Macaca fascicularis: one gene and its partner. The protein of the gene in region 1 interacts with the protein of each later gene in a pairwise test. Links are inferred from orthologs where the notes say so. Each region holds a gene or a part of one and is shown in the gene's direction. Other genes may lie near its edges.

The links.
Region 2: the proteins of NEIL2 (region 1) and MEOX1 interact in binary tests that used the Homo sapiens proteins (3 or more experiments, as listed by UniProt). The two-hybrid records come from large-scale screens. The link is inferred for Macaca fascicularis from reciprocal best matches to the Homo sapiens genes NEIL2 and MEOX1.

The regions. Positions count from the first base shown.
Region 1 is NC_088382.1:9,127,256-9,143,739, reverse strand, and holds part of NEIL2 (endonuclease 8-like 2), read left to right. Parts: intron 1-644; 5' UTR 645-646; coding exon 647-784; intron 785-10,117; coding exon 10,118-10,470; intron 10,471-13,485; coding exon 13,486-13,682; intron 13,683-16,224; coding exon 16,225-16,484. UniProt on the Homo sapiens protein: Involved in base excision repair of DNA damaged by oxidation or by mutagenic agents. Has DNA glycosylase activity towards 5-hydroxyuracil and other oxidized derivatives of cytosine with a preference for mismatched double-stranded DNA (DNA bubbles).
Region 2 is NC_088390.1:64,668,062-64,683,630, reverse strand, and holds the end of MEOX1 (homeobox protein MOX-1), read left to right. Parts: intron 1-7,021; coding exon 7,022-7,194; intron 7,195-8,657; coding exon 8,658-8,780; coding exon of another isoform or gene 8,781-8,803; 3' UTR 8,804-10,293; downstream 10,294-15,569. UniProt on the Homo sapiens protein: Mesodermal transcription factor that plays a key role in somitogenesis and is specifically required for sclerotome development. Required for maintenance of the sclerotome polarity and formation of the cranio-cervical joints.

The DNA.
Region 1 (16,484 bases):
GGCCCTGGGAGCCCTGCATGGTCATTAAAACAGAACCACAGCTTTTCTCAGTGATCAGAGATAACTGTCTGAAGTTAAGCTGGGCTTAACTACATGGCTGGGAGTCTCACTTATGATTCTGAGCTCTGTCCGCATATTGGTCGTCCCGTGCACACCTCCGCCATGTGAGTGGTCGGTGGTCCTGGAGGGCAGTATCCAGTCCCTTCAAAAGTGGGAAATCAGGCAGCAGCAGTGGGTCAGAATGGCTGTTTTTTTTTGAGAGCGGGAGGAGGGGGCGCAGAGAAAGTCAGGAGGTGTTAGAGGCTCACAGTCCAGGCGAAAAGTAACAAGGGCCAGCTCCTGGTGTGGCAGTGGCCACTCAGGAATAAAGTGGATGGTGCCCATGATGTGCTGCCTAGCACACTGTTGGTGCTTAATAAGTGTTTGCTGCATGAAGAAGGGTAAGAGGGGCTGCCTTTACTGCTAAGTTTGCCACACCCTGCCGCAGCTGGTCTTCTCTATGATCTGACCCCCTTGCAGCCACACTCCCTTTTTGGCCATATTTGCTCTTAAATTTAGTTGGCAGCAAAAATGGCGGCGTGGTTAGAGATGCTAGAGATAAATGAGCTAAATCCGTGGCCTCTTTTGCCCATTTCTGCCCACAGGGATGCCAGAAGGGCCGTTGGTGAGGAAATTTCACCATTTGATCTCCCCCTTTGTGGGCCAGCAGGTGGTCAAGACAGGGGGCAGCAGTAAGAAGCTACAGCCTGCCGGCCTGCAGTCTCTGTGGCTCCAGGACACCCAGGTGAGGCAGTCCTCCTCTGAAGAGCTGGCTCTGTCGCACATCCTGCGCCTCCCCTAGGATCTATCCCCACATGTCTCAGGGTGTCACTTCCCTGAGTCCGGAACCACCAAGCTCGGACTCCATGCAGCTCCGTCTTTCAATCTCATGTGTCTCAGCCAGAAGTAGATCTTGCTGTGGACTGTAGAACTGTAAAGAACATGTGTACATGAGCTGGAGACCCTGATTCCAGAGGGTCTGGAATGCTTCTGTTCTCTCCAGCCACAGCTGATGGGCACCTTTGGCTGGGAACTGTGTTCGATTCCCCTGAGCCAGCGGAGAATTAAGGAAAGAGCAGAACCGGCTAGGTGTGGTGACTCACGCCTGTAATCCCAGCACTTTGGGAGGCTGAGGCAGGCGGATCACCAGGTCAGGAGTTCAAGACCATCCTGGCCAACATGGTGAAACCCCATCTCTATTAAAAATACAAAAATTGGCTGGGTGTGGTGGTGGGCGCCTGTAATCCCAACTACTCGGGAGGCTGAGGCAGGAGAATCGCTTGAACCCGGGAGGCGGAGGTTGTAGTGAGCCGAGATAGTGCCACTGTACTTCAGCCTGGGTGACAGAGTGAGACTCTGTCAAAAAAAAAAAAGAAAAAAAAAGAAAAGAGCAGAACCTTCAGATCTAGGTTCAAAGCAGCTCATCCTTCCAGGGGCTCACGGGGCTCCCTGTTTTCTGACCCCTGCCTCCCTCTCTAGCCTTCTTATCCTGCCCCAAACCTGTCTTCTGATCGACGGAACTGCCTGTAGCTCTTGTTAGTCTTTCTGTCCGTAGTTTTGACTTGCTGCCTCCTGCTCAAGCACTTCTTCCTTTTTCTCCCAACTCTGCCCCTGTCCCCTCAGTTTATAATGGTTATTCCTGGTCTTCCAGCTTCCACTTGGCCACTGCATCCTCAGAGAAGCCTGCCCTGTCTGCTTTACGTGGGGAGGAGACTCCATCTCTGTGCTTCCAGGACATCGTGTACTTCCTCCCTGTTCTTCTTCCCTTTTTACTGCGTTGTTCTGCTTGTTGAGGGGCGAGGACAGATGCAGAGGGCAGGGGCTGCTCCTTGCCTGTATTGTGTGCCCCTAGCACCTAGCTGAGTGCTGGCACATAGGAAGCACGGGGCGGTGCCTGCGGATGAACTCATGAGCTCTGCTGCTGCTTAGCCGTGTGCTCTTAAGCATGTTCATCTCTTAGCTCTTTCTTCTATTGTAGAATGGAGATAAGCCATTGACCTCTTAAAATTGTTTTAAGTAGACTTTATGCCTGGCACATAATGGGCACACCATAAGTACTAGTTCCCTTTCTTGCATCTTGCCCTCACCCCCCACCCCTGCAACACATACACACAGAGGTTTTAAAACTGTTTTTTGTTAGAACTGGAAGAGATCTTGTAGCCCTTTACCCATAGTTGATTCCTTTGGAGACTGAGGCTCGGAGAAGGGAGTACTTAGCACAAACTTAGGTGGCTGGCAAGGAAAAGGTGAGATCCCAGGACCCCATGGCCTCCAGGACTGTGGCCTGTTTGTACACACTGTCCTGCGAGGTTTGCAGGGGCAGGATTATGTCTCTTGTCTCTGGATCCCCAGCACTTACCAGGGTGTCTGCCGCAGAGCTGGCTGTAAGAGAATATATCGCAAGTGGGTGGGTGGACAGATGGATGTGCAGTGAAGGAACCTGTAGATGGGACTGGGAGCTTCTTTCCCAGTAAACCAAGCAAAAGCCCATGTTGCAGGGAACCTAAGGTTGCAGGGAACCTTGGGGGCTGCCTGGCAGTGCTTTGAAGTGAGCGCCCTTCCCTGCTTCTCCCTGTCGGTGGATCCCTGACGCTAGGAACTTAGAATTGCATTGAGAACATAGGGCCTGTGTCGACGCAGGCCACACTATTAAGCTACACTAAATGGGGAGGGCAGAGCACATGATGAAGGCCCAGGTAATGGCCCTGATAGGAAGAGGTCCCAGTGGCCTGGAGATGATGCGCGGGAGGTAGGACTTGAGTTGGGCCTTGAAGGCTGAAGGATTTCGGTGGACTGAAGAGGAAGGAAAGGGCATTTCAGGCTTGAGAAGCAGTTACAGGCAGGCTGATGGAGGTAGAGTGAGCAGGACAAGTTGATGAGGCAGGAGAGAGCTTGGCTCCACCCTGTGCCATCTGTTTGTCTGGCACATCCTTTCCTTGTCAGCTCTCCATTTTCTGTATCAGGAGTCGTATTGGATTACTTGTAACAGACTGAAAAAAACGACTACTACAACTCAGGGTTTCCCCCTCCACTCCGGTAATGGAACAGTCCAGGGTGGTATAGGAGCAACATTGGAAAACAAGCTCCTTCCACTCTCCCCTTCCAAGACTGGGTAATTTATTAAGGAAAGAGGTTTAATGGACTCACAGTTCTGCGTTGCTGGGGAGGCCTTGCAATTATGGCAGAAGGCGAAGGGGAAACAAAGACACATCCTACATGGTGGAAGGCAGGAGAGCTTGTGCAGGGGAATTACCATTTATAAAACCATCAGGCCAGGTGCAGTGGCTCATGCCTGTAATCCCAGCACTTTGGAAGGCAGAGGTGGGCAGATCGCCAGAGGTCAGGAGTTTGGGACCAGAGTGGCCAACATGTTGAAACCCCATCTCTACTAAAGATGCACAAATTAGCTGGGCATGGTGGCAGGCACCTGTAATCTCAGCTACTTGGGAGGCTGAGGCAGGAGAATTGCTTGAACCCAGGTGACAGAGGTTGCAGTGAGCTGAGATCGCACCACTGCACTCGAGCCTCGGCAACAGAGCAAGACTCCATCTTAAAAATAAAAACAAAAACAAAAACAACCATCAGATCTCGAGACTTATTTACTATCACGAGAACAGCCCCCATGATTCAATTACCTCCCACTGGGTCCGTCTCATAACACATGGGAATCATGGGAGTTATAATGAGATTTGGGGACACAGCCAAACCATATTATTCCACCCCCAGCCCCTTCCAAAGCACATGTCCTCACATTTCACAACCAATCATGCCTTTGCAACAGTCCCCAACAGTCTTAATTCATTTCAGCATTAATTTAAAAGGCCACAGTCCAAAGTGTCATCTGAGAAAAGGCAAGTTCCTTTCACCTATGGGCCTGTAAAATCAAAAGCAAGTTAGTTACTTCCTAAATACAATGGGGGTACAGGCATTGGGTAAATACACCTGTTTCAAATGGGAGAAATTGGCCAAAACAAAGGAGCTACAGGCCCCTTGCGAGTCTGAAATCCGGCAAGGCAGTCAAATCTTAAAGCTCCAAAATGATCTTTGACTCCATGTCTCTCATCCAGGGCACGCTGATGTAAGAGGTAGACTCCCACGACCTTGGGCAGCTTTGCCTCTGTGGCTTTGTAGGGTACAGTCCCTCATCCTGGCTGCTTTCAAGGCTGGCATTGAGGGTCTGTGGGTTTTCCAGAGCAGGCTGCAAGCTGTCAGTGGATCTACCATTCTGAGGTCTGGAGGACAGTGGCCCTCTTCTCATAGCTTTACTAGGCAGTGCCCCAGTGGGAACTCTGCACCGGGGCTCTAACCCCGCATTTCCCTTCTGCACTGCCCTAGCAGACGTTCTCAATGAGGGTTCCACCCCTGCAATACACCTCTGCCTGGACATCCAGGCGTTTCCATACACCCTCAGAAATCTAGGTGGAGGTTCCCAAACCTCCATTCTTAACTTCTGAGCACCCGCAGGCTCAACACCACATGTACACCGCCAAGGCTTGGGGCTTGTACCCTCTGAAGCAGCAGCCTGAGTTGTACATTGGCCCCTTTTACATTGGCACCATTCTGGGGTCTGGAGCACAGTGGCCCTCTTCTCACAGCTCTACTAGGCAGTGCCCCAGTGAACACTCTGCCCTGGGGCTCTAACCCTGTGTTTTCCTTCTGCACTGCCCTAGTAGAGGTTCTCAATGAGGGCTCTGCCCCTGCAGCACACCTCTGCCTGGACATCCTGTTGTTTCCAACATCCTCAGAAATCTAGGTGAAGGTTTCCAAACCTCTATTCTTAACTTCTGAGCACCCGCAGGCTCAACACCACATGTAAACCACCAAGGCTTGGGGCTTGTACCCTCTGAAGCAGCAGCCTGGGTTGTGCATTGGCCCTTTTTAGCCATGGCTGGAGGGGCTGGGACACAGGGCACCAAGCCCCTAGGCTGCATACAGCAATGAGGCCTGGACCTGGCCCAGGAAACCATTTTTTCCTTCTAGGCATCTGGACCTGTCATGGGAGGGGCTGCCATGAAGGTCTCTGACATGCTGTGGAGACATTTTCTTTGTTGGCTTGGTGATTAGCATTTGACTTCTAGTTACTTATGCAAATTTCTGCAGCCAGCTTGAATTTCTCCCCAGAAAACGGGTTTTTCTTTTCTACTGCATCATCAGGCTGCAAATTTTTCAAACTTTTGTGCTCTGCTTCCTCTTGAATGCTTTGCCACTTAGAAATTTCTTTCACCAGCTGGGCGTGGTGGCTCATGCCTATAATCCCAGCACTTTGGGAGGCCGAGGCAGGCAGATCACAAGGTCAGGAGTTTGAGACCAGCCTGGCCAATCTGGTGAAACCCTGTCTCTACTAAAAATACAAAAATTAGCCAGGCATGGTGGCAGGCACCTGTAGTCCCAGCTACTCAGGAGGCTGAGGCAGGAGAATCACTTGAATCTGGGAGGCAGAGGATGCAGTGAGCCCAGATCATGCCACTGCACTCCAGCCTGGGCGACAGGGTAAGACTCTGTCTCAAAAAAAAAAAAAAAAAAAAGAAATTTCTTTCACCAGATACCATAATCATGTCTCTCAAGTTCAAAGTTCCATAGATCTCTAGGGCAGGGGCAAAATGCCACCAGTCTCTTAGCACAGCAAGAGTCACCTTTACTCTAGTTCCCAACAAGTTTCTCATCTCCGTCTGAAACCACCTCAGCCTGTGCCTTATTGTCCATATCACTGTCAGCATTTTGATCAAAACCATTCAACAGGTCTCTAGGAAGTTCCAAACTTTCCCACATTTTCCTGTCTTCTGAGCCCTCCAGACTGTTCCAACCTCTGCCTGTTAACCAGTTCCAAAGTTGCTTCCACATTTTGGGGTGTCTTTACAGCAGTGCCCCACTCCGGATACCAGTTTACAGTATTAGTCTGTTCTCATGCTGCTGATAAAGACATAACCAAGACTGGGTAATTTATAAAGGGAAGAGTTTTAATGGACTCACAGTTCCACATGTCTGGGGAGTCCTCACAATCATGGTGGAAGGCAAAGGAGAAGCAAAGGCATGTCTTACATGGCAGCAGGCAAGAGAGAGCATGTGCAGGAGAACTGCCCTTTATAAAACCATCAGATCTTGTAAGATTTACTATCATGGGAACAGCATGGGAAAAAACCCACCCCCATGATTCAGTTACCTCCCATCAGGTCCCCCCAACAACACATGGGAATTATAGGAGCTAAAATTCAAGATGAGATTTGGGTAGGGACACAGCCAAACCATATCATACATTTTATAGTCAGTGATGTCCGGTCATCAGTTGATGGACATTCGGATTGTTTCGACTCTTTGACTTCTATGGATAATGCTGCGGTGGGCATTCACGTGCAAGCATTGGTGTAGACATATGTTTTCATTTCTCTTGAGACTATTCCTAGGAGTGAAATTGCTGGACCATATAGTACGTTTAACTTTTTTAGTGTCTTCTGTAGTGTTTTCCAAAGCAGCTGCACCATTTTATCATCCCTCCAGCAGTGTATGAGGACTAATCCTTCCATTTTTAACCTCTTGCCATAGTACCTGGGGCCTATCTCCAGCTCACCTGGGTTCAGGGTGGGTAGGTTCCCTGGGTTGCCTCTTCCTTGGGGTCCCCCTCTGCTACAGCAGGGGTCTCTGCTCTGCCTTGTCAGTTACCCTTCCTGTGCCTGTTCCTCATCTTCTGGAGGGAATTTGTATCTCCTGTCTGCTCCTCCTCTTGATTTAAACCCTCTAAACCTCCGAGGGTTTAGAGCTCTTTGGTTCCTATAGCGGGTTTGTTGGGAGCAGTGCTAACAGCGCATGCCCTAGCTGCTGTGTCTGACCAGGAGCTCCCCCTCCCAGTATGGGGTTTCCGCCTCTGCGTTCAGGTGTGTCCCCTCAGCTGGGGACTCCCTGTCTCCTCTGCCTTCCACTCTTCTTGTGAAGCCCAGCCCAGGTACTGCCAGCTTCCCCTCATGCTGTAGACTCTTCTTCTGTGTGCTACCTCTGCTTCTACCCACACTTTTCTTTTCTTTTTTTTTGTACAGATGGGGGTTTCACTTTGTTACCCAGGCTGGTCTCGAACTCCTGGGCTCAGGCAATCCTCTTATCTTGGCCTCCAGAGTGCAGGGATTACAGGCATGAGCCACTGTGCCTGGCCTACCCACACTTTTCTCCATGCTCTTGTAGTATCTGTTTTCATACTTGTCCCCCCGCCCACCCCCACCGCCTTTTAAATTTTTTTTTTTTTTTTTTTTTTTTTTGAGATGGAGTCTCGCTCTGTCGCCCAGGCTGGAGTGCAGTGGTGCAATCTCGGCTCACTGCAAGCTCCACCTCCCGGATTCACACCATTCTCCTGCCTCAGCCTCCCGAATAGCTGGGACTACAGGCGCCCGTCACAGCGCCCGGCTAATTTTTTTGTATTTTTAGTAGAGACGGGCTTTCACCATGGTCTCGATCTACTGACCTCGTGATCCGCCAGCCTTGGCCTCCCAAAGTGCTGAGATTACAGGCGTGAGCCACCGCGCCCGCCCGCCTTTTAAATTTTTTTTAAAATTGTGATGAAAAACACATAACAAAATTTACTGTCTTAACCATTTTAAAGTATATAGTTCAGTAATGTTAAGTATATTCACGTTGTGTAACAGTTTGCCTGAACTTTTGTATCTCCCCAAGCTGAAACGCCATACCTGTTGAACACTAACTCTCCCTTTCCTCCCTTCCTGCAGCTCCTGGCAATCGCCTTTCTACTTTCTGTCTCTATGAATTGTACTCCCCCAGCTACCTCATATCAGTGGAATTATACAGTTATACAGTATTTGGAGTTTTTTTGACTGGCTTATTTCACTTGGTATAAAGTCCTCAAAGTTCACCCATGTTACAGATAAGGGAACATTGGAGATTGTTGTAATCTATTTTTGCTGCTATTACAGAATACTTGAGACTGGGTAATTTATAAACAATAGAAGTCTATAGAGCTCACAGTTCTGGAATCTGCAAAGTCCAAGGGCATGGCATTGGCATCTTGCCGTGTCATTTGCAATTGGCATTATTCCATTCGGGAGCTCAGAGCCCTATGGCCTAATTTCAAAGGGGCCATCTCTTACCACTGTTCCATTGGGGATGAAGTTTCTGACACATACTTTTTGGGGAACACATTCAAACCATTGCAGAGCCTTACTCATCTGTTTGCCCTTGGAGCCTAGCACACTGCCAGGCACATTGAATAAGCTTAATTAATGATTAGCGAACTGAAGTGGCTGCAATGTCACAGGAACCTAAAAGAGGGACAGTAGAAATTGCCATAGTTGGAGAGGGTATGAGGACATCTTGACCTAGATATTATTGACCTAGTAAATGTTTTGATCATCATGGGCATTTGACAGTTATTTTCATCAGAATTATATCAACATTGGTGAATTTATGCCAAGAAATATTTTCTGCAGCAGATTCTATTATGCTCACTTAAATCCTTGCTCAATTTTTTTTTTATGTAGGTCAGTTAAACCATTTCTAATATGTAGCAAATAACAATCTGTGCTCAGATTTACAGATAAGCTATTCTGGGATTATTTCGAAAGGTAATGCTCTTTTGTGTAGAGGATTTCAAGATTAATTTGTATGCTAATTAACAAGTAAAGATCGTATCAGAACAGTGATCTTTTTTTTTTTTTTTTTTTTTTTTGAGACAGAGTCTCGCTCTGCCGCCCAGGCTGGAGTGCAGTGGCGTGATCTTGGCTCACTGCAAGCTCCGCCTCCCGGGTTCACGCCATTCTCCTGCCTCAGCCTCCCGAGTAGCTGGGACTACAGGCGCCCGCCACCTTGCCCGGCTAGTTTTTTTGTATTTTTTAGTAGAGACGGGGTTTCACTGTGTCAGCCAGGATGGTCTCGATCTCCTGACCTCGTGATCCGCCCGTCTCGGCCTCCCAAAGTGCTGGGATTACAGGCTTGAGCCACCGCGCCCGGCCCAGAACAGTGATCTTTAAGCACAGACCTGTAGCGGTCAAAAAAGTGACACAGGCGTTTCCGGTATTAATGCCAGATGCTTTGGCTTATACTCTTTGAAAGACAGCCCGAATTTCAGGCTGTGTAGAACCGACACATCCTGGAATCTAGACATACATACTGCATATCAGGAGGTGTAACATGAAAATAAACTCAAAGCAAAGGCTGGGTGTGGTGGCTCATGCCTGGAATCCCAACACTTTGGGAGGCCAAGACAGGCAGATCACTTGAGGTCAGGAGTTCGAGACCAACCTTACTAATGCGGTGAGACCCCGTCTCTACTAAATAAATAAAAATTAGCTGGGTGTGGTGGTGTTCACCTATAGTCCCAGCTACTTGGGCAGCTGAGGCAAGAGAATCGCTTGAACCCAGGAGATGGGGGCTACAGTGAGCCAAGATGGTGCCACTGCACTCCAGTCTAGGCGAGATTCCATCTGGAAAAAAAAAAAAAGAAAATAAACTCAAAGCAGCCAGAACATCCTTTAACACACATTTTCTGTATTTATTTTCTTCTACTGAAATCCTTTTCAGTGAGGTAAGGTGGGTCCTTTGCCTTGTACATTTTACAGTGGTGATTTGATTCATTGGTCAATTTTTGTTTCACTATCTAATTTTTATTGATTACAGTTTTCTTATTAAGTCCAATGCACTGGTGGAGGGGGTAGCGTGGGGTACCCAGTTTTATAGTGTGCTGTCTTTAGCTGCTCTGTGTGTGCATTCCCATGCACTACTTATTTCTGGCATAGAAAATGTATTATGAATGGAATGAAGGAATGACAACTTATGTTCATTTCTTAGCTACTGCATGGAAAAATTGGGAGCGATTCCCCTCAGGTTGTCCAGGGTGGTCCTGCCATCTAGCATGGGTCAGTTTCCTGCCAACCAAGTCTACTTGCTCCCAGTCACTTTGAAAACCACATGCGAACTGCTCACACCACTGGAGCAAAAGAGCAAAAGGCAGAACCCCAAGACTCCATTTGGGAAGGCTCCCCGCGAGGGGCGAGAAGGAAGACCTTTGCAATAGGATAAATATCTGCATTCGCCCGTTCCCCTCTGGGTCTGTAAGGCTTAGATCTCTGTTCATTTTTTCTAGGTCCATGGAAAGAAATTATTCCTTAGATTTGATCCAGATGAAGAAATGGAGGCCCCTGGCAGCAGCCCACCGCCAGAGCCTCCACAAAAAGAAGCGCAGAAGGAAGGGGCTGCGGACCCAAAGCAGGCCGGGGAGCCCAGTGGGCAAAAGACGCCTGATGGATCCTCACAGTCTGCAGAGCTCAACCCCCAGGGAGAGGATGAATCTGAGTGTTTGGAGGGAGACGCCCCTGCAGGAGATGCTGGGAGGTGGCTGCGTGTCAGCTTTGGTTTGTTTGGCAGCGTTTGGGTGAACGAGTTCTCCAGAGCCAAGAAAGCCAACAAGAGGGGGGACTGGAGGGACCCTTCCCCGAGGTAATGGTGTGGCCATCTGATTCTCAGGGGCTCTGATAGTCATAGGGCCCTGCTTGATGGGGTTTGGGACTTAAGCAGTGGGGTCACACTGAGGACGTCCAGGCTGCCCCCCACGGCCCTGCTGTCTTGGGGAGTGAGGCCACCTCTGTATCTACCAGTGACAGGAAGTAGACCGTGGTCTGCATGCAGGAGAGGGTTGTGCACCCAGAGGTGGCTGGGAGATGGGGAGAATTTTCCCAAAAAATGTGGCACTTGAGAGTGGACTGTCCCTGAAGAACATTTTACTGCCTGACTCCTGACTTGTGTGCTTTGAGTTTAGGGACAAGATTTTCCCAGTTTTAAGTATACTGTTTGTGTGTTTATGTTTTATTGAGATATAATTAACATACAATAGAATGCCGATCTTAAGTGTTCAGCTTGATGAGTTTTCTTAGTTTGTTTTGAGACGGAGTCTTGTTCTGTTGGCCCAGGCTGGAGTGCAGTGGCATGATGTTGGACAGGCTGGCTGGTCTGGAACTCCTGGCCTCAAGTGATCCGCCTGCCTCCGCCTCCCAAAATGCTGGGATTGCAGGCGTGAGCCACCATGCTTGGCCCCAGTTTTTAATCTATGAATGTTGAGATCAACATTTTGTGCATAAAACTCTAGGTTTAGGATCATATGCTCAGTGTCAATTTCCAGAGGAGTAATTGCTGCTCAGAGGGAATGCACATGCTTAGGGCTGTACATTTGATGGCCTTAGGAAAGTGCTAGTGAGCTGAAATCGCATGAATGTTAGGTTGTTTGTGTACTTCTTATCAATTTATCGAAGCCTTTGGACCGAAAGTCTGTTTGTTTTTGTGACATGTGTTGCCAGCATTGTTTGAAGTCTGTCCTCTGTCCTTTGAGCTTATGATGCCTGTTGGCATTTGGGATTTGAAATTTGTATGTCGTCAATGGTGGGTATTTTTCTTGGTTGCTCATAGGCTTCCCCTTTTACTAAAAAAAAGGTCCCTTCTACCCCCAGAGAAAGTCACATGACTTCTATTTTCTGAAGTTTTATAACTTGTAAAAATGTTTAGAACTGTAGTCTTTTTTTGTGGCATGATGTAGGTACCATAGGATGCTTTGGGCTTCTGTGGTCCAGAGATTTTGGGCTCACATGACTGGAAGTTCAGAAGGAGGGTAGGCTTTGGGGTTGCAGTTCTGAGGTTCTGACTTCATGTGATTCTCCTGGCTTTGCACTTTCCACACATTGGTTTTGTCCTTAGACGAGCAGCAAAAGGCTACTGCAGCTCCAGGATTTTATTTACACTGAAAAATCCAGAAGATGAGAAGATCATTTTTAGAAGTTCAGATGAGGAAAGTTTTCTTAGAACCTCCAGCAAACCTCTCATCATCAGGAGCCTGCCCTTTGCTGAGTCCTGGATTAGTCACCAGCTGGAGGCATTGAAATGCTCTCCACGAAGCAGGCTCACTCCTAGGTTTTCAGATATGTTGCCATAGAGTGAATGTGTATCATGCCATTATTTTTAAATCTCTGTTTACCTGGTTATGTCTCTTTTCTCATTTACATGTTTTATATTTATTTTGCTTTGTCTCTTTTTTCTTTAATAGGCTTGCCTGAGTTTTATCTACTTTGTTGGTCTTTGAAATAAATAATATTAGCTTGCCAGGCATAGTGACTCCTGTCTGTAATCCCAGCACTTTGGGAGGCTGAGACAGGAGGATCACTTGTGCCCAGGAGTAAGAGACCAGCCTGGGCAACATAGTGAAGACCCTGTTTCTACAAAAAATAAAAATAAAATTAACCAGGTATGGTGGTACATACCTGTAGTCCCAGCTACTTGGGAGGCTGAAGTGGGAGGGTAGTTTGAGCCAGGGAGGTTGAGACTGCAGTGGGCTGTGATTGTGCCACTACACTCCAGCCTGGGCAACAGAGCGAGACCCTGTCTCCAAATAAATAAATAAATAAAATTAGCTTTATATATCCTTTCTATATGGAAAGGATATATGGAATATTGAAAATATTAGGTCAAGTGTGGTGGCTCACACCTGTAATCCCAGCACTTTAGAGGCCGAGGTAGGTGGATCACCGGAGGTCAGGAGTTTGAGACCAGCCTGGCCAACATGATGAAACCCCATCTCTACTAAAAGTACAAAAAATTAGCCAGGTGTGGTTGTATACACCTGTAATCCCAGCTACTCGGGAGGCTGAGGCAGGAGAATCGCCTGAACCTAGGAGGCAGAGATTGCAGTGAGCCAAGATAGTGCCACTGCACTCCAGCCTGGTGATGAGAATGAAACTCCATCTCAAAAAAAAAATTATAAGTCAAAAATGCGTCTAATATGCCTAGCCTACCAAACATCCTGGCTTAGCCTAACCTACCTTATATGTGCTCAGAACAATTACATTAGCCTACAGTTGGGCAAAATCATCTAACACAAAGCTTGTTTTATAAAATGTTGAATATCTCATGTAATTTATTGAATACTGCACTGAAAAGAAAGGTTTTATAGGTACTCAAAGTATGGCTTTTACTGAGTGTGCATTGATTTTGTACCATTATAAAATCAAAAATTAAAAGTGAACCATTGTAAGTCAGGGATGTGTGTATGTGTGTATGATCCAACCATAGAGTGTGCTCTGACTATATCAACCTCAACATCATGGTAACGATGTGGGGATGTGGGGATGTGTGTATGATCCGACCACAGAGTGTGCTCTGACTATATCATGGTAACGATGTGGGGATGTGTGTATGTGTGTATGATCCGACCACAGAGTGTGCTCTGACTACATTGTGGTAACGATGTGGGGATGTGTGTATGATCCAGCCACAGAGTGTGCTCTGACTATATCGTGGTAACAGTGTGGGGATGTGTGTATGTGTGTATGATTCAACCATAGAGTGTGCTGTGACTATATCACGGTAACGATGTGGGGATGTGGGGATGTGTGTATGATCCGACCACAGAGTGTGCTCTGACTATGTTGTGGCAGCGATGTGTACATATGACCTGTTCTTTCTTCCCAGGTTGGTCCTGTACTTTAGTGGTGGTGGCTTCCTGGCATTTTATAATTGTCAGATGTCTTGGAGCTCTTCCCCCGTGGTCACACCCGCCTGTGACATCCTGTCTGAGAAGTTCCATCGAGGACAAGCCTTAGAAGCTCTAGGCCAGGCGCAGCCTGTCTGCATTACACTGCTGGACCAGAGATACTTCTCCGGGCTAGGTATGACTCATGGGAAAGGGGTGAGTCCACAGACTTGCTTCATGGAAAAGTCGCTCCTGTGGGAGTCACAAGACCTGAGGCCCACCCTAGTTGTGCCAGTGCTGTTGGTCTTGAGGTGCCACTTGCTTAATCTCCTTTGTTTTACTTCCCTTGTTTTTAGACTGAGGGCATTAGATCAGGCAGTTTTTAGCTTGTCTCTGGGCTTCAGAATCCACACCCTAACTGTGTTATCAGTTGTGAGCCTTCTGCCAGCAGCGCTGGAACATCGCCTCCTAAAGGGCAGGGTCATGTCTCGGGCACCTCTGTACCCTCCACAGCACAGTGCAGTGCCTGGCACACAGGAGGTGCCTGACCCGTATCTGTAGGGACTGAAGTCGTGCAGGCTACTACCAGAGGAGTGAGTGCACGTTCTAAGGGATGCTGCTCTTGGGTGGATGCACAGATGACTCAGTCTACACTGGGTTCTTACAAGACACGAGTGAAGAAGAGTTTCCCTCTCTCTATTGCAGTGGCATGAGCAGTGAAACCGTGAGCATTTCAGAATAGGGAGAAGAGAGGAACAATTTCAAAAATACATGTAACAGCTAATTAGCTGGACTATGAGAGCGTGCCATTCTTACTACCCACAGCAGGGGAATAATTGTGCCCAAAATTGGCTGCTGAAGCAATCAGGCAAGTTGGTGGTGACAGAGTCACCTCCATATCCAACATGTGGCTTTGCTGCCTGCTCACCTCCCCTCACGAGGGTCGGAGAAGGCCCGGTGGTGCACCAGGCACTAGCCTTGCGTTTTCATGTTAGGACCATGGGAGTCCCTGTGCCCTCAGGAGCAAAGAGCCATCGGAAGTGGCTTTTTGGGTATATGTGGCAAGAGCTAATAAAGTAACAGTAGTAATTAATAATGGCCAGTGTTTTCCAAGCAGCTCTGATGTGCCAGGCACATGTTTTTGTCCTTAGTGCTGATCCATAGGATGGTCATAGTGGGTTTCCCTTCCTTCAGATGAGGAAACTGAAGCAGAGAACGCATCTCTAGTACACGGTGCAGCTGAGATGTGAATCCAGGTATTCTGTCAACGAATTCTGGAGAGATCGATGTGTGTAATGAGGAGTGTGACTATGAGGCTCTTGGAAAAAGCAAGAATTTCCTTCACCTGCTCACTCCAAACACACAGACACTCCCTTGACCTCTGTCACGCTCACCATCTCTCCTTAAGGAGATCATTGTTTAATGTCCCAGCAAGCACAGACTCAGTCCACTGCGAGTTAGGAAAGATTGCTATGAATGCCTGGTGGAGCTGAAAGAGTATGGTTGGAACATTCCAAAGAGAGTTACTGATTCTGGAAGGAGGGATCGAGGCTGGCTTCACAGAGAATGAAGCAGGAGTAGAAAAATCATAAGATAACACCTCCCCAAACACTTTCTACATAACGAGCATTATGCTTGGTATTTCATTTTATTTTATTTTTTGACACAGGGTCTCTCTCTGTCGCCCAGGCCGGAGTGCAGTGGCATAGACACAACCCACTGCAGCCTCAACTTCTGTGGCTCAAGCGATCCTCCCACCTCAGCCTCCTGAGTAGCTGGGACTACAGGTGCATGACACCACGTCTCACTAACTTTTAAAATTTTTGTAGAGACAGGCTCTCACTATGTTGCCCAGCTGGTCTTCAACTTGTGGGCTCAAGCGATCCTCCTGCCTCTGCCTCCCGAAGTGCTGGGATAACAGGCATGAACCACTGTGCCTAGCTATGCTTGACATTTTGTTTTTAATTAAAAAAAAATTTTTTTTTGAGATAGTCTCGCCCTGTTGCCCAGGCTGGAGTGCGGTGGCACAATCTCAGATTACTGCAACCTCTGCCTCCCAGTTCAAGCGATTCTCATACCTCAGCCACCTGAGTAGCTGGGATTACAGGCAGGTGCTACCATGCCTGGCTAATTTTTGTATTTTTGGTAGAGATGGGGTTCACGATGTTGTCGAGGCTGGTCTTGAACTCCTGGCCTCAAGTGATTCACCCGCCTCGGCCTCTCAAAGTGCTGGGATTACAGACATGAGCTACGGCACCAGGCCGACATTTTAAATAATAACAACAGTTAATATTTATTGAGTACTCTACATACCAGCCACTGTGCTCAGCGTTTTTTAGTGAATTCTCATTTACTGCTCACAAAAACCAGGTGAGCCATCCCTGCCTTACAGATAAGGAAACTGCAGCTAATTGAGACTGAGGAGCTTGCCAGGGTCACGTGGGTAGGATCTGCTTGAGCTGGGATTCAAGTGCAGGCAGTCAGATGCCCGACCCCTTTTTGATAGCCTATTTGCCATGACGGGCCATGCATGAGTTTCATTTCATCTTCACAGCAACCTTAAAGGTAGGAGTTGTCAACTCCAATTTACAGACAGAGAAGCGGAGTCAGAGATCGCGGACCTGCCCAGGGTCCCACAGGACGTGGAAGAGCTGACTTCTGCCGTGCTAACTTTGTGGGTGGTTTCATCGTGCCATGTGTCCTTTCTCCTTCGCTTACCCTCCCCTGCTTTATTTCAGGGAACATCATTAAGAATGAAGTCTTGTACAGAGCTGGGATCCATCCCCTTTCTCTTGGTTCAGCCCTGAGTGCCCCGCGTCGGGAGGCCCTGGTGGATCACGTGGTGGAGTTCAGTACAGCCTGGCTGCAGGGCAAGTTCCAGGGCAGACCGCAGCACACGCAGGTCTACCAGAAAGAACAGTGCCCTGCTGGCCACCAGGTCATGAAGGAGGCGTTTGGGCCCCCAGGTGGGTTCCAGAGGGTCACCTGGTGGTGCCCA
Region 2 (15,569 bases), on another chromosome or scaffold:
GAGGAAAGAAATCCCTTGTCAACTGCACAGTGCTATTTGAATATGAGGCATTTGGCCTCCTGTCTGGTTTGGATATGAATTTATGTAAATTGGTGCCCTCAGAGTTGGACTGTAGAGTACAGAACTCCAGAAAGGCATGTTCCACTGGGTCTGTCTGAACCTCCCCGTAGCTCTGATAAAGCTGTCTGCTCACTTTAGGAAGGCCTGCCAAATGTGGCAGCTACGTATGAAATAATTTGCCCTGGATGGTGTGGAAGCTCATGGTGGAAACCTCAATCACACATACGCTGTTTGCATTTCTCTGGGCAGTTGACTGTTCCCTCACAGCCCTGCTCCAGCAGAGGGTGAGGGTCATGCAGGGGCTGGGGCAGGGCAATTCCTCCCTAACCACAGAGGCAGCCCACTGAGGGCCAGCATCCTCCCTCCGTAATCCTGGAAGAGGCAGCTGTGGCCCCCAAGAGAGAAGCAGTGCGGGAGGAGTGATGTGAATTGCCATGTGACACATCTAGGTGTTGTGCCTGGAATCATGGGACTCCGAAGGCTGCAGCAATAGTGGCCTAGGCTGGGTGCAGTGGCTCATGCCTGTCATCTCAGCACTCTGGGAGGCTGAGGCGGGTGGATCACCTGAGGTCAAGAGTTCAAGACCAGCCTGGCCAACATGGCGAAACTCCATCTCTACTAAAAATACAAAAATTACCCTGGCATGGTGGCAGGCGCCCATAATCCCAGCTACTCTGGAGGCTGAGGCAGGAGAATCGCTTGAACCCAAGAGGTAGAAGTTGTGGTGGTGAGCCGAGATCAGGCCATTGTACTCCAGCCTGGGTGACCAGAGTGAGACTCAGCGAAAGAAGAAAGAAGAAAGAAGAAGAAGGAAGAAGAAAAGAAAAGAAGAAGAAGAAGAAGGAAGAAGAAAAGAAAAGAAGGAAGAAGAAGCAGCAGCAGCTGAAAGGCCAGACATTTAAAAGATAACCCTTTCACACAGGTCTGGAGATGTGGTGCCTTAAGGAGCATAGTGCTCTAACTCTGCCCATGAGTCATCTCAGATATAATCTCCAGTAGAACTCCTTCTGATGGTTCTCGTGAACAGAGCTTCAATGACATGCCAGGCACTGCCCTAGGTGTTAACGCCTGCTATCCAGCTCATGTTACTTCTCAGCCTGATAAGCACAGCAGGTGTAGCTATTCTTGCTTTGCAAATGAGGAAATTGAAGCTCCAGGAACCTAAAGGACTTGCCCAAGGTCCAAAAGCTCTTCCTCAGTGCCTCACTCACCTACGAGTGCTAAGGCCCAGGTTCACCAACAGGTCCTCTAACACTTCTGCATATATAACTTCCCTCCACACAGCTCGAGGCAGGGCGAGAGAAACGGCCTAGCAGAGCCCTGATTGTTGAGCCACGGGAAGACTGGGGAGGGCTTTGGGACAGAGCATACAGTAAGACCTCAGATCTGACTGAAGGGAGGAACTAGGAGCTGAGACAAGAATATGTGAAGTTGGAAGAGCCTCAGACTTCATCAAGGCTAGGGGTTCCCAACAGAAGAGAGAGTAGGGAGTGTAGGGCATCAGGGCTTATGTCCTGGGAAGGAACTCTGACACCAGCTCCCTGGCAGAAATAGAATCCACTCCAATCCCATACTTCTACACATGGGGAAACTGAGGCCCACAGAGGCGAGGAAGGCTCCCTAACAAAGCTGTACTATCCTACTATCCTGGGAACAGACCATCCTGGGAAGCATGAGTTACTTTCCTTCTTTTTTTTTTTTTTTTTTTTTTGAGACGGAGTCTCACTCTATTGCCCAGGCTGGAGTGTAGTGGCACGATCTCGGTTCACTGCAAGCTCCGCCTCCCAGGTTCACGCCATTCTCCTTCCTCAGCCTCCTGAGTAGCTGGGACTACAGGCGCCCACCGCCATGCCCAACTAATTTTTTGTATTTTTAGTAGAGACGGCGTTTCACTGTGTTAGCCAGGATGGTCTCTATCTCCTGACCTTGTGATCCGCCCGCCTCGGCCTCCCAAAGTGCTGGGATTACAAGCGTGAGCCACCACACCTGGCCTAGCAAGAGTTACTTTCATGTGGCAGGTTGCACGAACTATGCCCATGAGCAGGATGACCGAACAGCTCCCAGAAACGGAATGCAAGTGCTCTTAGTGTTTCCATCTTGATGAATATGTTGCAATTTGTAATACTGTTGCAGAACAAAGAGAGCCATAACTTTCACTTCAACTTTCATAGCTTGCTTCCCATACTTCTGGTCCCTTCATCATTTCCAACAGTGGTGAACGTTGATCCCACTCTGGGAAGCTGACAAGGGACAACCGCTCTCCCAGAGCCAATATCCATCCCACCCACCATTAGTAGGTATTGCCCCCAGGTTCACACAGGGGGTTAGCTGAGACCCTCAGTTCCCGCCCTGGCTGCTGCTTCCTGTTTCCTCTGCCCCAGAGGCTAAATCAGGACAATGACAGACAGGAGAGGTGGCCAGGGATGGGGCATAGCTTGGCTGGCAGTGGTCAGCTGCCCTGCCCACACAACCAGGCCAAGACCAACTCCAAAAGGGTCCTCTCCTGCTTTTCCCTTTTCTCTCTAGGGAGGACTATGTGCAGAACTAGGGCGGGGAAAGTTGTTTTGGGGGACACCATGAGGCACCTGTACACACCTAAGCAGGCCTTGGAGAGTAGGTATGGGTAGCAAATCGGATAGTGCCCCCAGGACCTCTGGAAGTGGTGACAAGCCGAGCAGCCATGGTCCAGCTCCAGGCCCCAACCTGGGCCAGCTAGCCAGGAGACAGTGGAGAGCCTTGCTTCTAATCAGATAGATCTGGGTTCAAATCTCCCTTCTGTCACCTAAAAGCTGCCAGGCACACTGGGCAAGTTCCTGGGCCTGTCTGAGGCTGCCTCCTCTGTATAACAGGATGATTTAGCAAATACTTAGCAAGTACTTTTTCCTCTTCTCTCTAGGAGAATTATGTGCAGAACTGGTGGGGGCGGGGTGGGGGGGGGCAGTTGTGCCAGATACAGAAGCAACTATGGCTAGATGCTAGAGTGAGAAAAAGTGTTTCCCTGGGAGACAGCTATTAATCAAATTATCACACAAACCCAGGTAAGAGTACTAAAGGGGGTAAGAACAGTATTCACTCATAGGCTGCCCTGTGGTGAGGTTAAAGCTGCGGATGCCTCTGGGCACACTCAGAAGCCTTCAAGAAGCGCAGCTGTTTCTATCCTAGCCCTTCAGTGTCATCTCGTGGAACTGATAAATTGGAGAATATATTTGTCCAGCATTTTTAGATTTTTTTTTTCTTTTTTGAGAGGGAGTTTTGTTCTTGTTGCCCAGACTGGAGAGCAATGGCGCAATCTGGGCTCAATGCAACCTCCGGTTTCCAGGTTCTAGCGATTCTCCTGCCTCTGCCTCCCGAGTAGCTGGGATTACAGGCATGCACCACCACACTGGGCTAATTTTTTTTGTTTGTTTGTATTTTTAGTAGAGACGGTGTTTCTCCGTGTTGGTCAGGCTGGTCGCGAACTCCCGACCTCAGGTGATCCACCCACCTCGGCTTCCCAAAATGCTGGGATTACAGGCGTGAGCCACCGCTCGTGGCTTTTTTTTTTTTTTTTTTTTTTTTTTTTTTATGATGTATTCTCACTCTGTCACCCAGGCTGGAGTGCAGTGGTGCAATCTCGGCTCACTGCAACCTCCGCCTTCTGGGTTCAAGTGATTCTCCTGCCTCAGCCTCCAGAGTAGCTGGGATTACAGGTGCCCGTCACCACGCCCGGCTAGTTTTTGTATTTTTAGTAGAGACGGGGTTTCACCATGTTGCCCAGGCTGGTCTTGAACTCCTGACCTCAGGTCATCCGCCTGCCTTGGCCTCCTAAAGTGCTGGGATTACAGGCGTGAGCCGCCACTTTTCAACTTTAATAGCATTTTGCACACACATATTAACGCGTTCAGTCTTCCAATAACCCTAGGAGGTAGGTGAAATTGTTTTCCTCAATTTCTTAATGAGGAGACCGACACCCAGAGAAGTTAAGTGATTTCCTCAGTCTCCAGCAAGGAGATTCAGGATTCAAGCCTCTGAGCAAGTCCTCTGGGCCATCCACTCCCCGCAACCGTGGAAAGGAAGGGCTGGGAAACACTGAGCCTCGGGACAGGAGGAGATTGGGAAACCAGTCCCCGACCGCGCCCGTCGTCTAAGCCCAGGTTTCCTGCCTCTCTCCAGGCCCGAGGGCCGGGCTGTGCTACAGGAAGCCCGTCATCCGCTTGTGAACGACCCTCCCGGGCCTGCTGCCAGGAGGGAGCGCGGGACTGGCGGCGGCCAAGGCCGGAGGGCTCCTCGGGGACCCCGGCCCGGGGCTGCGCGTCCTTCCCTCCAGCCCACGCTCCCGCTTCCGGAGGGGTCTGGACCTGCCTTCTCCGGCCTGGAGCTAGAGGCCGCCGGGCAGGCAGCCCGCGCCGGGAACTCGGCCCCCTGCCCTGCTTCCCGGGCGCGCCCCGCGGGCGGCCAACCCGGTTCGGACGCGGACCCCCGGGCCAGGGCGCCACGACACCCCTGACCCAGGCACCGGGACTATCAGGCACCGGGACTATCAGGCCCCTCCCCCGCTTTCTCGGGTTCCCGGAACGGCGGCACCCACTCCCCTTCCATGCCTCGGCGGGGGCCGGGAACGCGCAAAGCGAGGTTGGCCGGGCCAAGTGCCCAAATCACTTTACCGCGCGCGTACTGCTAGAGAGCAGCCCAGCCCGAGGCAGACGGGCGCGGAGGCGGAGGACGCGGAAACTGAAATACAAAGGGATTGAGTGGAAAGCAATAGAGGGAGGTGCTGGGAGGGGAACCAGCTAGGCTCAAAGCTCCAAAGCGGATAGCCGGGTTAATGTGGGGTTTCTGCCTCGCCACCCACTCCCAATGCGGCTGCTTAGCCGACTGCGTAGGCGGCTTCTCTGCATTACACTAGCTGGTCTGAATTCCCCAGCCCAGCCGCCCAGGTAGCTTAAACCCGGCCTCTGAAAACACCGGATCCCTCTTTCCAACACTCCTCTCCAGCAAGGCAGAGATGGGTCTTTCAGGGAGCAGGAAGTTGGGGCGCAGGTTTCGGTAAAGCACCTCACTCGGAGCCACGGTTTCCGTGTCTAAAATTACAATGGGCCGGGCGCGGTGACTTACGCCTGTAATCCCAGCATTTTGGGAGGCCGAGGTGGGCGGATCACGAGGTCAGGAGATAGACAGCATCCTGGCTAACACGGTGAAACCCCGTCTCTACTAAAAATACAAAAAAAAAAAAAAAAAAAAAAAAAAAAAAAAAAATTAGCCGGGCGTGGTGGCAAGCACTTGTAGTCCCAGCTACTCGGGAGGCTGAGGCAGGAGTATGACGTGAACCCGGGAGGAGGAGCTTGCAGTGAGCCGAGCGAGACTCCGTCTCAAAAACAAAAGAAAAAGGAGGACAATGAAGCCAACGACTTTTAAATGTTAAAGCCGCGCACGCATGGCTCCTGCAGCCATTCCCTGGCCATGTGGCATGCATCGCGAGTTAATTGTGTAGGTGTGTGGTCTTCTTCCCACCTCCTCTCCACCCACCACCTCCATTCATTAAAGTGAAGGTAGAGCTGCCTCCCACCCGTCTGCTCAAGAGATAACCATGCAACCCCTTTTATTTGTTCAGGACTTTATCGTTTGTAAGCCCTTCCTATATATATATATATATATATATATATATTTTTTTTTTTTTTTTTTTTTTTTTTTTTTTTTCCCCAAGACGGAGCCTTGCTCTGTCGCCCAGGCTGGAGTGCAATGGCGTGATCTCGGCTCACTGCAGCCTCCGCCTCCTGGGTTCAAGCGATTCTCTTGCCTCAGCCTCCCAAGAAGCTGGGATTACAGGCGCGTGCCACCATGCCCAGCTAACTTTTTGTGTTTTTAGTAGAGACGGGGTTTCACCATGTTGACCAGGCTGGTCTCGAACTCCTGACCTCGTGATCCGCCCACCTTGGCCTCCCAAAGTGCTAGGATTACAGGCGTGAGCCACCGCGCCTGGCCCCTACATATTTTTCATTTGAACAATATGTGTATGTCAAATCGCCTGAATTTGATTCTTGTCTCCCACACCCCCTGGCTGAATAAACTTGGACAATTTGCTTAACTTCTCTGTGTTCATTTTCTGGTCCATAAAGTGAGACTAATACTAGAACCACTTGGTTGGGCTATTGAGGATTAAGAGGCTAATATATGTCAGGTACAGCACCTGGCACAGAGTGTGTTCCCTGACCCTGTTGACAGTTATGACTGAGCCCCACTGAATCTAACATGCAACCTCCTTCAGAGGGGTCCAGATGGTTTTCCAGATTTGGCCCTCTGGGGCAGATTCTGATTCGGTAGGTAGGTATGGGGCAGGCCTGAGATCCTTCAGATCTGAACAGCTCCCTGGTGCTGCTGATGCTGCTGGCACCCAGGCACTCCTTTGAGTGATGAGGTCTTAGAGCGGCGGACTTAAACAGCACCAGAGGCATCTGGAGGGTTTGCAAAAATAGACTGCTGAGCGCCATCCCCAGAGTTTCTGACTCAGTAGGTCTGGAGTGAGACTAGGATTTGCATTCCTAACAATCTCTCAAGTAATGCTGATGCTGCTGATCTGAGGACCATAGTTTGAGGCTTTGTTTTAGAGCATCTCACCCCTCAAGCCTATGACCACAAGTAATGTCATACTGGGGGGTGGGCTGGGGAGTAGAGATCATTAAACAGCCAAGAGTAGCTTCTTGTGCTTTGGGAATAAAAGAAAGTTCCGGGAGGAGGGGCAGGGGACAGCCAAAAAAAAAAAAAAAAAAAAAAAAAAAAAAAAAAAAAAAAAAAAAAAAAACCTTCCCAGTTCTAATATGGGTAAGACACCAGAAGGAATAAAAAGGACAGTGTAGCTTTTTTCTCAGCATCCTGTAAAATTAAGGGAGAGTGGGAAAGACTGCCTAGTTGCTCAAGGGCAAAAGAAAGGGAATGGAATCTCCTTCAGCCCATGTCTTCCTGTTTTGGGGTCCTCTCTCCCCAGACAACCAAGAGAACAGAGGGAAGCCGGAGGGCAGCAGCAAGGCCCGCAAGGAGAGGACGGCCTTCACCAAGGAGCAGCTGCGAGAGCTGGAGGCGGAATTTGCCCATCATAACTACCTGACTCGGCTCCGCAGATACGAGATCGCGGTAAACCTGGACCTCTCTGAGCGCCAGGTGCGCCCCCAGCGGCCCCTCCTCTTATTTGCTCTCCCATCTCCCTCCCTTCCCTCCTTTCCCACCACCACTCCCTTCACCTTCTTTTTCTTCCTCCAGCCAGTCCAGTGGTTTTCAACTGTGGCCATACCTGAGAATAGCCTGGGGAGTTTTGGGTTTTTTTGTTTTTTGTTTTTTGTCTTTTGAGACGGAGTCTCGCTCTGTCACCCAGGCTGGAGTGCAGTGGTGCGTTCTCAGCTCACTGTAACCTCCACCTCCTGGCTTCAAGAAATTCTCCTGCCTTAGCCTCCTGAGTAGCTGGGACTACTGGCATGCGCCATCACGCCTGGCTAATTTTTGTCTTCTTTTTTAGTAGAGGCGGGGTTTCACAATGTTGACCAGGATGGTCTCAAACTCCTGACCTCAGGTGATCCGCCCTCCTCGGCCTCCTAAAGTGCTGGGATTACAGGCGTGAGCTACCATGCCCAACCCCTGGGGAGATTTTAATAGTGCTGATGTCTGGGCTCTACCCCTAGGGATGATTTTAATTGGCCTGGGATGGGATACAGGCCTCAGAATTTTTCAAAGGCCCCCTAGGTGATTCTCATATGCAGTTAGGTTGGGAGCTCTGGTCTGGCTATTCCCAAACTTGAGTATATGTTGGAATCCTCTAAGGCACTTGTTCAAAATATGGATTCCAGAGGTCTGGAGAGAGATTTTACCATAATGAGTGGGCCTGAGAATCTGTATTTCTAGTATGTTCTCTAGGCGATCTGGATATGCAGCTGGTTCCTGGGCACACTTTGAGAAAAACTTCCCTGGCCCTTTGTTTTGGACTTTCCCTTCAGCCACCCCACACCCCCACACCCAGGCTCTGATATGGAATAATAGTAATAATAACAGTAATATTTGATAGCAGATTTCAGTTGATAGAGCGCTCTGCTAGAGGGCTGGATTTTGAATCAGAAGACTTAGATTCAAGTCCTGCCTCTATCACTTCTTCTAGCCCTGGGACCTCTGGGTCTCTATCTGTAAAATGGGACCATAATCCTGCAGGTAATACTCAAGCTTAGATGAGAAAATGTGCTGACCAGAGCTATCTAAACCAAAAAGTTCTCTATAAATGTGCCTAAGGATAAGGCTGATGACCTCTGCTCCCAGACCCTTGGGGAATGGAGGTAGGGCGCAGGGGGACCTGGCACAGGTGGGGCAGGGCATGTGAAGAGGGTGGGGCCAATGCAGAGTGTTTTTAGAACATGTTCCCCTGTCTGGGGCTTTATCCCAAGACACAAGACAGACCTCTGGGCAGATTGGTGTGTCCTCTCTTTGGTCTTAGTTCCTGGGGCGTTTGGGGAGTAGAGAGTGGTAAGTGATGGTTTCAAGCTGGGGTCCCTGGAGTTACACCCTGGCTAGCCTGAGCATTGACATGGGAAGGAGGTCACACCAGCCCTGGAGTGCCCAGGCTCCTTTGCTTCCTCCCCTAGGTCAAAGTGTGGTTCCAGAACCGAAGGATGAAGTGGAAGCGTGTGAAGGGAGGTCAGCCCATCTCCCCCAATGGGCAGGACCCCGAGGATGGGGACTCTGCAGCCTCTCCAAGTTCAGAGTGAGATTCTGCGTGGAGGAAAAATGACTAAGGACTGAGCCCCCTACCCAACTACCCCCACCCCAATGCCACCTTTACCCTCTTCCTTCCCCAGCCGGGGCAGCCTCTCCACATCTTTCACTGACTCTTAGATATGAAACTGCCCAGCATTCCTGGGAGTCTTAGAGTTGTCCAGGAAGTTCTATCCAACCTCTTAGCAGCCTCTTCCCTAGGGCCTTTGCTCCCACACTCTCATGGAATCAGACAGAGATCCTACCAGGCCGGATGAATCTGGAAACAGCTTCAGAGACACTGCTTCTCAGGGTCTCTTGGCTGCCACCCATGCCTCCTCCTACTGCCGTTCTCCTGTGTCAGCCAGGCCTCCTTCTGGTCTGGACACCACCTGGCCTGGTGGGAGAGACGCTTTGGAACCAGCTGGCGACTCGGATAGTAAATGCTTCAAAAGGAAGGAAATGATGGAGACACACGCCCTTGCCCACCTTCCTCTATGGGCTGTACATCTGAGGCTTTGGGGCCCCTTAGTTGTCCCCAAACCCCAAGAAAAATCAGAATGTGGAGAGTCAAGGACAGCAACTCAGCTGCTGCAAGCCAGAAACCCATCCCTATCTCCAAATTTGTTGGCTAAGTGGGGACACTTATAAGCACTGACTAGAGAAGACAGAAAAATAGCCTCATGTAGGTTTCTGTGTCCCCATATAGGCCCGTCCACACAGGCTTGACTGGGTGGACAAGAATGAACCCATGACAGCACCTGCTGCTTCAAAATCAAAATCAATTTAGGGATATAGCAGGGGCTGTTGGGCTGTGCTCCAGAGAAAAGGAGCAGCTACTCCCTTTAAATCCACGATTTGTGGATTGAAAACCTCTCCAGATGCCCAGTTGCTGGGCTGAACAACTATGGGCTGGAAACAACATAGAGTCTAGAAAGTGTCCCCTACATTCTGGAGGGGAGGGGAGATAATAAGGAGGGCTCGGATGAGGGCCTGGAGATGCGGAACCCTGGCATAGAAGGTTCTCTAGCTACAGTGTCCTGTGACTGCAAAGGGGGACGAGAAAATCCCTTTTCCTCCATGGCATGGATTTAAGCTCTTGCTGTGTGTTCTACAAATGCTGTTATTGTGGGAGGAAATGCTAGGTTTTTGTGTGTGGACTGCCCAGACCTCAGCCAGGTCTTCTGGAGATGCCACTTGAGGACTGCTGGCCAAAGAGCATGAGGGACTGAAGCCCTGGCTGCCTCAGCGCTCTGTCTCCCAACACCAGCTGGTGTTGCAGAGGGAGGTCAACGTGAGTTTGGATCTCTTGTACGCAGATGTAATCATTCACATGTAACCCCACCTCTCCACCCCAAAAAGGGCAAGAGCTGTGGAAAATGATTGCCAAATGAGATGGCTGGTTAGAGCATGATTTTTTCTAAAGCATACTTCATGTATTTTCTTAAGATTACATCAAACTAATTGTGCAAGGTCAATTCACTTTGTAAGAAAACTCTTGGAGAAATAAAATCAATAAAAAGCAAAGTTCCCAGGCCTTTTTCTTTGCAGAGCGAACAACAACAGCTCTTGTGTGCAACCTTCTGATTGACCAGACAATGTCTAGAAGCAAGAGAAAACGGCAAGAAATGATCTAGACAGAGCTGTCCCCCTTTAGTTTTTCAAAAGGTAGGTACCAAATATAATTGTTGCCCCCAAATTTTTTTTTCTCCCATGCAAATGCATGGTCTTCATTTCTCATTGTAAAAGTTTAGCTTTCAGTTTCCCTAAACTATGACCTATCAAATAGTCAATGTTTTGTAAACAAAACATTGTTAATAGAGTAATCTTGACCACAAAGTAACCATTCCCAATGTTTAAATTCAAAGTTTGGAGATTTTATTTTTCAAGGTAGAAAAGTGTATATTAATAGTAGTAAAAATGACATAAGAAAAAATATCCCATATTCTCTGTCTTTTTTTTTTTTTTTTTTTTTTTTTTTTGAGACAGAGTTTCACTCTTGTTGCCCAGGCTGGGACGCAATGTCACCATCTTGGCTCACTGCAACCTCCACCTCCTGGGTTCAAGTGATTCTCCTGCCTCAGCCTCCTGAGTAGCTAGAATTACAGGCATGCGCCATCACGCCCAGCTAATTTTTGTATTTTTAGTAGAGATGGGGTTTCTCCATGCTGGCCAGTCTGGTCTCCAGCTCCTGACCTCAGGTGATCCACCTGCATCTGTGTCCCAAAGTGCTGGGATTATAGGCATGAGCCACCACACCTGGCCTCTATGTCCTTTTTTTCTTTTCTTTTCTTTTTTTGAGACAGAGTCTCACTCTGTCGCCCGGGCTGGAATGTAGTGCCATCTCGGCTCACTGTCACTGCAAGCTCTGCCTCAGCCTCCTGAGTAGCTGGGACTACAGGTGCCCGCCACCATGCCTGGCTAATTTTTTTGTATTTTTAGTAGAGACTGGGTTTCGCCATGTTAGCCAGGATGGTCTCAATCTTCTGACCTTGTGATCCACCTGCCTTGGCCTCCCAAAATGCTGAGATTACAGGCATGAGCCACTGCACCTGGCCCTATGTCTTTTTAACTAAAATACAATTTGTCTCACCAAGATATCAACAATGGACAAAACAGGACTGGCTACGGGGAGGTGAGAGAGGGAGGCAGTAGAGGAGACCTGGCCAGAATCTTGCATTGATGCAGCCTGGGCCAGGTGTGGGCAGTGCCTGGAAGTGACATCAGCAGGAGCTGGAATCAGGCAGACCTACCAAAATCAAGGTGCCAAACAGAGGTGGGTTCAGTGGCTCAGGTTCAGGTTCACAGCCAAGCAACATAGACACGCTCAGTCACCCCCATCTACCCTCCTGCTGGAAACTCAACTCCGTGGCTTCAGGGGACATCATCCTCTTCTGGCTTTCCTCATCTGTCCTAGATGTTCCTTCTCTGTCCCTCATGTAGGCCCATTTCTCGACGCTTCTGCTCTCATGGCTGGTTTTCAAGGTTTTCTCTTTCTACCACCACCTTCCCTATTTTTCAGTCTCTCCCCAGATGATCCCATCCACCTACTTTTTTTGTTTGTTTTTGTCTTTTGAAACAGTCTCGCTCTGTCGCCCAGGCTGGAGTGCAGTGACACGATCTCAGCTCACCGCAAACTCTGCCTCCTGGGTTCAAGCGATTCTCCCGCCTCAGCCTCCTGAGTAGCTGGGATCTGGCTAATTTTTGTATTTTTAGTAGAGACAGGGTTTCACCATGTTGGTCAGGTTTGTCTCAAACTCCTGACCTCAGGTGATCCTCCCGCCTCGGCCTCCCAGAGTGCTGGGATTACAGGCATGAGCCACCTCGCCTGGCCTACATTTTTTTAAATTGTTGTAAAATACACTAACATAAAATAAAAGTTATCATGTTAACCATTTTGAAGTGCACAGTTCCGTGGCATTAAGCATTTTCTCATTGTTGTGCAACCACTGCCACTATCCATCTCCAGAACGTTTTCATCTTCCCAAACTGAAACCCTGTGCCTATGGACTACTAATCCCTATCCCCTCTCCTCCATTCACCTACATTTACATAGCATTTGTGCCATATTGAGCACTGTTCTGCTTTACATGTACAAACTAAGTGAATTCTCTTAGCCATCCTAAGAGGTAGTACTACTGTAATTCCCATTTCACACATGAGGTAACCAAGGCGGAGAGAAGCTGAGTAAACTCCCGAGATTTTATGTGATTAGTGTTTGGGGTGGATTGTATTATTTGGCCCAGGTATCTTCTTCCCTCTCCACTGGGGAAATGCTTCCCTGATCATTGCCATATGATACACCTGCCGTGGTAAGGGCACACTTCCTCGCCTAATTGACATCAGCTTGTCCTTGTGGCCTGCTTTGGCCAATAGAATGTGAGCAGAAGGACATGTGTTGTATCCAAGCAGAAGCTTTACAGGTCATCACACTGCTGTGCTCCTGCTCTTTTCCCTCTGTACAAGGCTGAAATGGAGGTTCCCTGGGTTCCAGAAGGAGAAAAACATGGAACTGGCCTCCAGAAGGAGAAAAATGTAGAACAAAGGTAAAGCTGACCCCACAGCCTTCATAGATGTCAATGAGGATATAAACATTTGTTGTTGTAAGCCAATGATTTGTGGGTCATTTGTCACTGCCACACCAGCTCGTAAAAACTGACCACTCCAGTGATGAAGCTGGGTTTGGAATTGAGTCATTCTGGCCCCAGGCCACCACTTCCTATGCCTGATCTGGGTCCCTGAGCTTTTATATTCTGCTGCCTACTGCCCTTTGCCACCTAGGATGACTATAAGCATCTCAAACTCCCATATCTGAAGGGGAAATCACCATTCCTGGAATTTGGTGAGCACCACTGCCTGCATTCTGATTTCTCTACTTTAGCTGGCAACACTACAACCTACCTACCTGTTCATTCACACTGGAAACCTGGGGCACATCCTTGATACTGACCTCTGCTTTTCCGAACCAATCCACTACCTGCTCCTGCTCATTTTACTTCCCATATAGATATTTCTCCCACCCACGGCATTGTCTTCCCACCACCACTGCCTTCCTTCTGGCTGTTGACGTCTCACTTGAATTAGAGCCTCTGAGAGCCCTCCCTCCTGGTCTGAGGCTGCTCAAATCCCATCCCCTCTCAGCCTGTAGAGTGATCACAAAGAAAATTCAACCCTGTCACCCCCTGTTTAAAACCTATCCGCAGCTTCCCTCACCCACAAAATAAAGTCCAAGGGCCTTCACAGGTCTCCATGATCCAGCCCCTGACCACCTCCACAGCCGCAACCTAACACCTCCGCCACAAATCCTGGGCTCTAGCAAGACCAAGCCACCTTCCATTCCACAGCCACAGGCCATGTGATTTCTCTTCTCCATTCCTTGGCTCATTCCCTTCTGCCTGGAGTGCCCTCCCACACCTGGAGCCCCAAGGACTTATGCATTCTAGGAGCACTCTAAAGGAACGCGCAGGAAGTTTAAATATAAATATGGCCAAGTTTTTATTTTTTTATTTATTTTTTATTTTTTTTTAAGAGACTTCATTTCCCAACCTGGAGTGCAAAGGTATGATCATGGCTCACTGCAGCCTCAAACTCCTAGCCTCAAGCAATCCTCCCACCTCAGCCTCCTGAGTAGCTAGCCGGGACTACAGGTATGAAAAACCATGCCTAGCTAATTTTTAAATTGCTTTGTAGAGATGGGGGTCTCACTATGTTGCCCAGGCTGGCCTTGAACTTCTGGCCTCAAGGGATCCTCCTGCTTCACCTCCCAAAGCTCTGGGGTTACAGGCATGAGTCACTGCACCCAGCCCAAACTAATTTTCAATAGTAGATCAATGCCTAACATGAGGCAGCAACATTCACCAATTTCTAAAACCATCAGAAAAAAACCTCAGTGTGAGAATTTTCCTTTCCCCAATAAACCCAGTTAATAAGCCCACTGAGGAGAGTTTGATCATGACATTAAAAGTACATGCACACATCAATCAAGAGGTTTCTGGTTTCTTTTGAACGCTCCCTGCACTGCTCTCCCTCTTCAGCGTTGGTGTGTGATTGACCAGCGCTGGGTGAGCAGTAGCTGGGACCCGCTGTTCTTCAAGTTAGGTAAAAATCCTCTACTTTCTCCCGAGGGCAAAGCTGCATGAAGGAAGCAAGGCCACCCACTGGCAACTCCCTGATGGGAACCAGTGAGTGTGACCAGAGATGGTGGCTTGGTAGAAATCCAAACAACTGAGAATTCCCAGACGGTAACTTTTCAGTAATGGTTTTCTCCATCCTTGAGACAGCATCAGGGACGAGCGAGTGTGTGGCTGACCTGCTGAGAGAGGTGAGGAGATATGAAAAAAAGAGAGAGATGAAGCAAGCGAGTAGGGAATCCATTTCCAAATGAAAAGGCCTGGAGGGGCTCAGGCCTTCAGAAATCTGCTCACCTGCCTGGGCCAGGTCCTGAGATGGATGTGTGCATTTCTGATAGTTCTTCTATTCAAAGATGAGAATCAGTGTCAGGGAGAGATTTACTCTTTTCTGTCCAGACCTCCAAAGCACCACAATTCTCAGTAACTGGGTAAGCCCGTGGTGGGTGGCTTTCTTTCCTTCCATTGAGTGGAAATGATTGCCCTTAAGAGTTATATATTCTTTAGCCAGACAGAGGAGCCTGTGCCTACTAATCCCTCACAACCACCGGTGAGGCACTAGTCAGTCATGTCATCTCTTGGCCACCACGGCGCTGGGCCGTCGCCATGTTCCTTCTCTCACCGGCTGCCGCTTCTCAGTCCCATTTGCTGCCAACCCTGGCTACCCGAATATTTTTGAAACACTTTGAAAAATATCTCAAATCCTGCTGGGCGCAGTGGGTCACACATGTAATCCCAGAACTTTAGGAGGCTGAGGCAGGCAGATCACCTGCGGTTGGGAGTTCGACACCAGCCTGGCCAACATGGTGAAACCCCGTCTCTACTAAAAATACAAAAATTAGCTCTGTGTGGTGGCACCTATCTGTAATCCCAGCTACTTGGGAGGCTGAGGCATGAAAATCACTCAAAGCCGGGAAGCAGAGGTTTCAGTGAGCTGAGATCGTGCCTCTGCGCTCCAGCCCAGGCAACAGAGCGAGACTCCGTCTTTAAAAAAAAAAAAAAAAGCCCTTCTCAAATGCTACCTGTGGCCACGACTGTCCCTTTATTCTCTATCTTCCCACCTTGTGTGTGTTCCTTTATGGCCTCTACCACAATTTGTCATTCTTCTACTTTTTGTTTCCTTATTCATTTATGGTCTGCTTTATAGGCTGGAAGAAAGAGAAAGGGATATGTTTC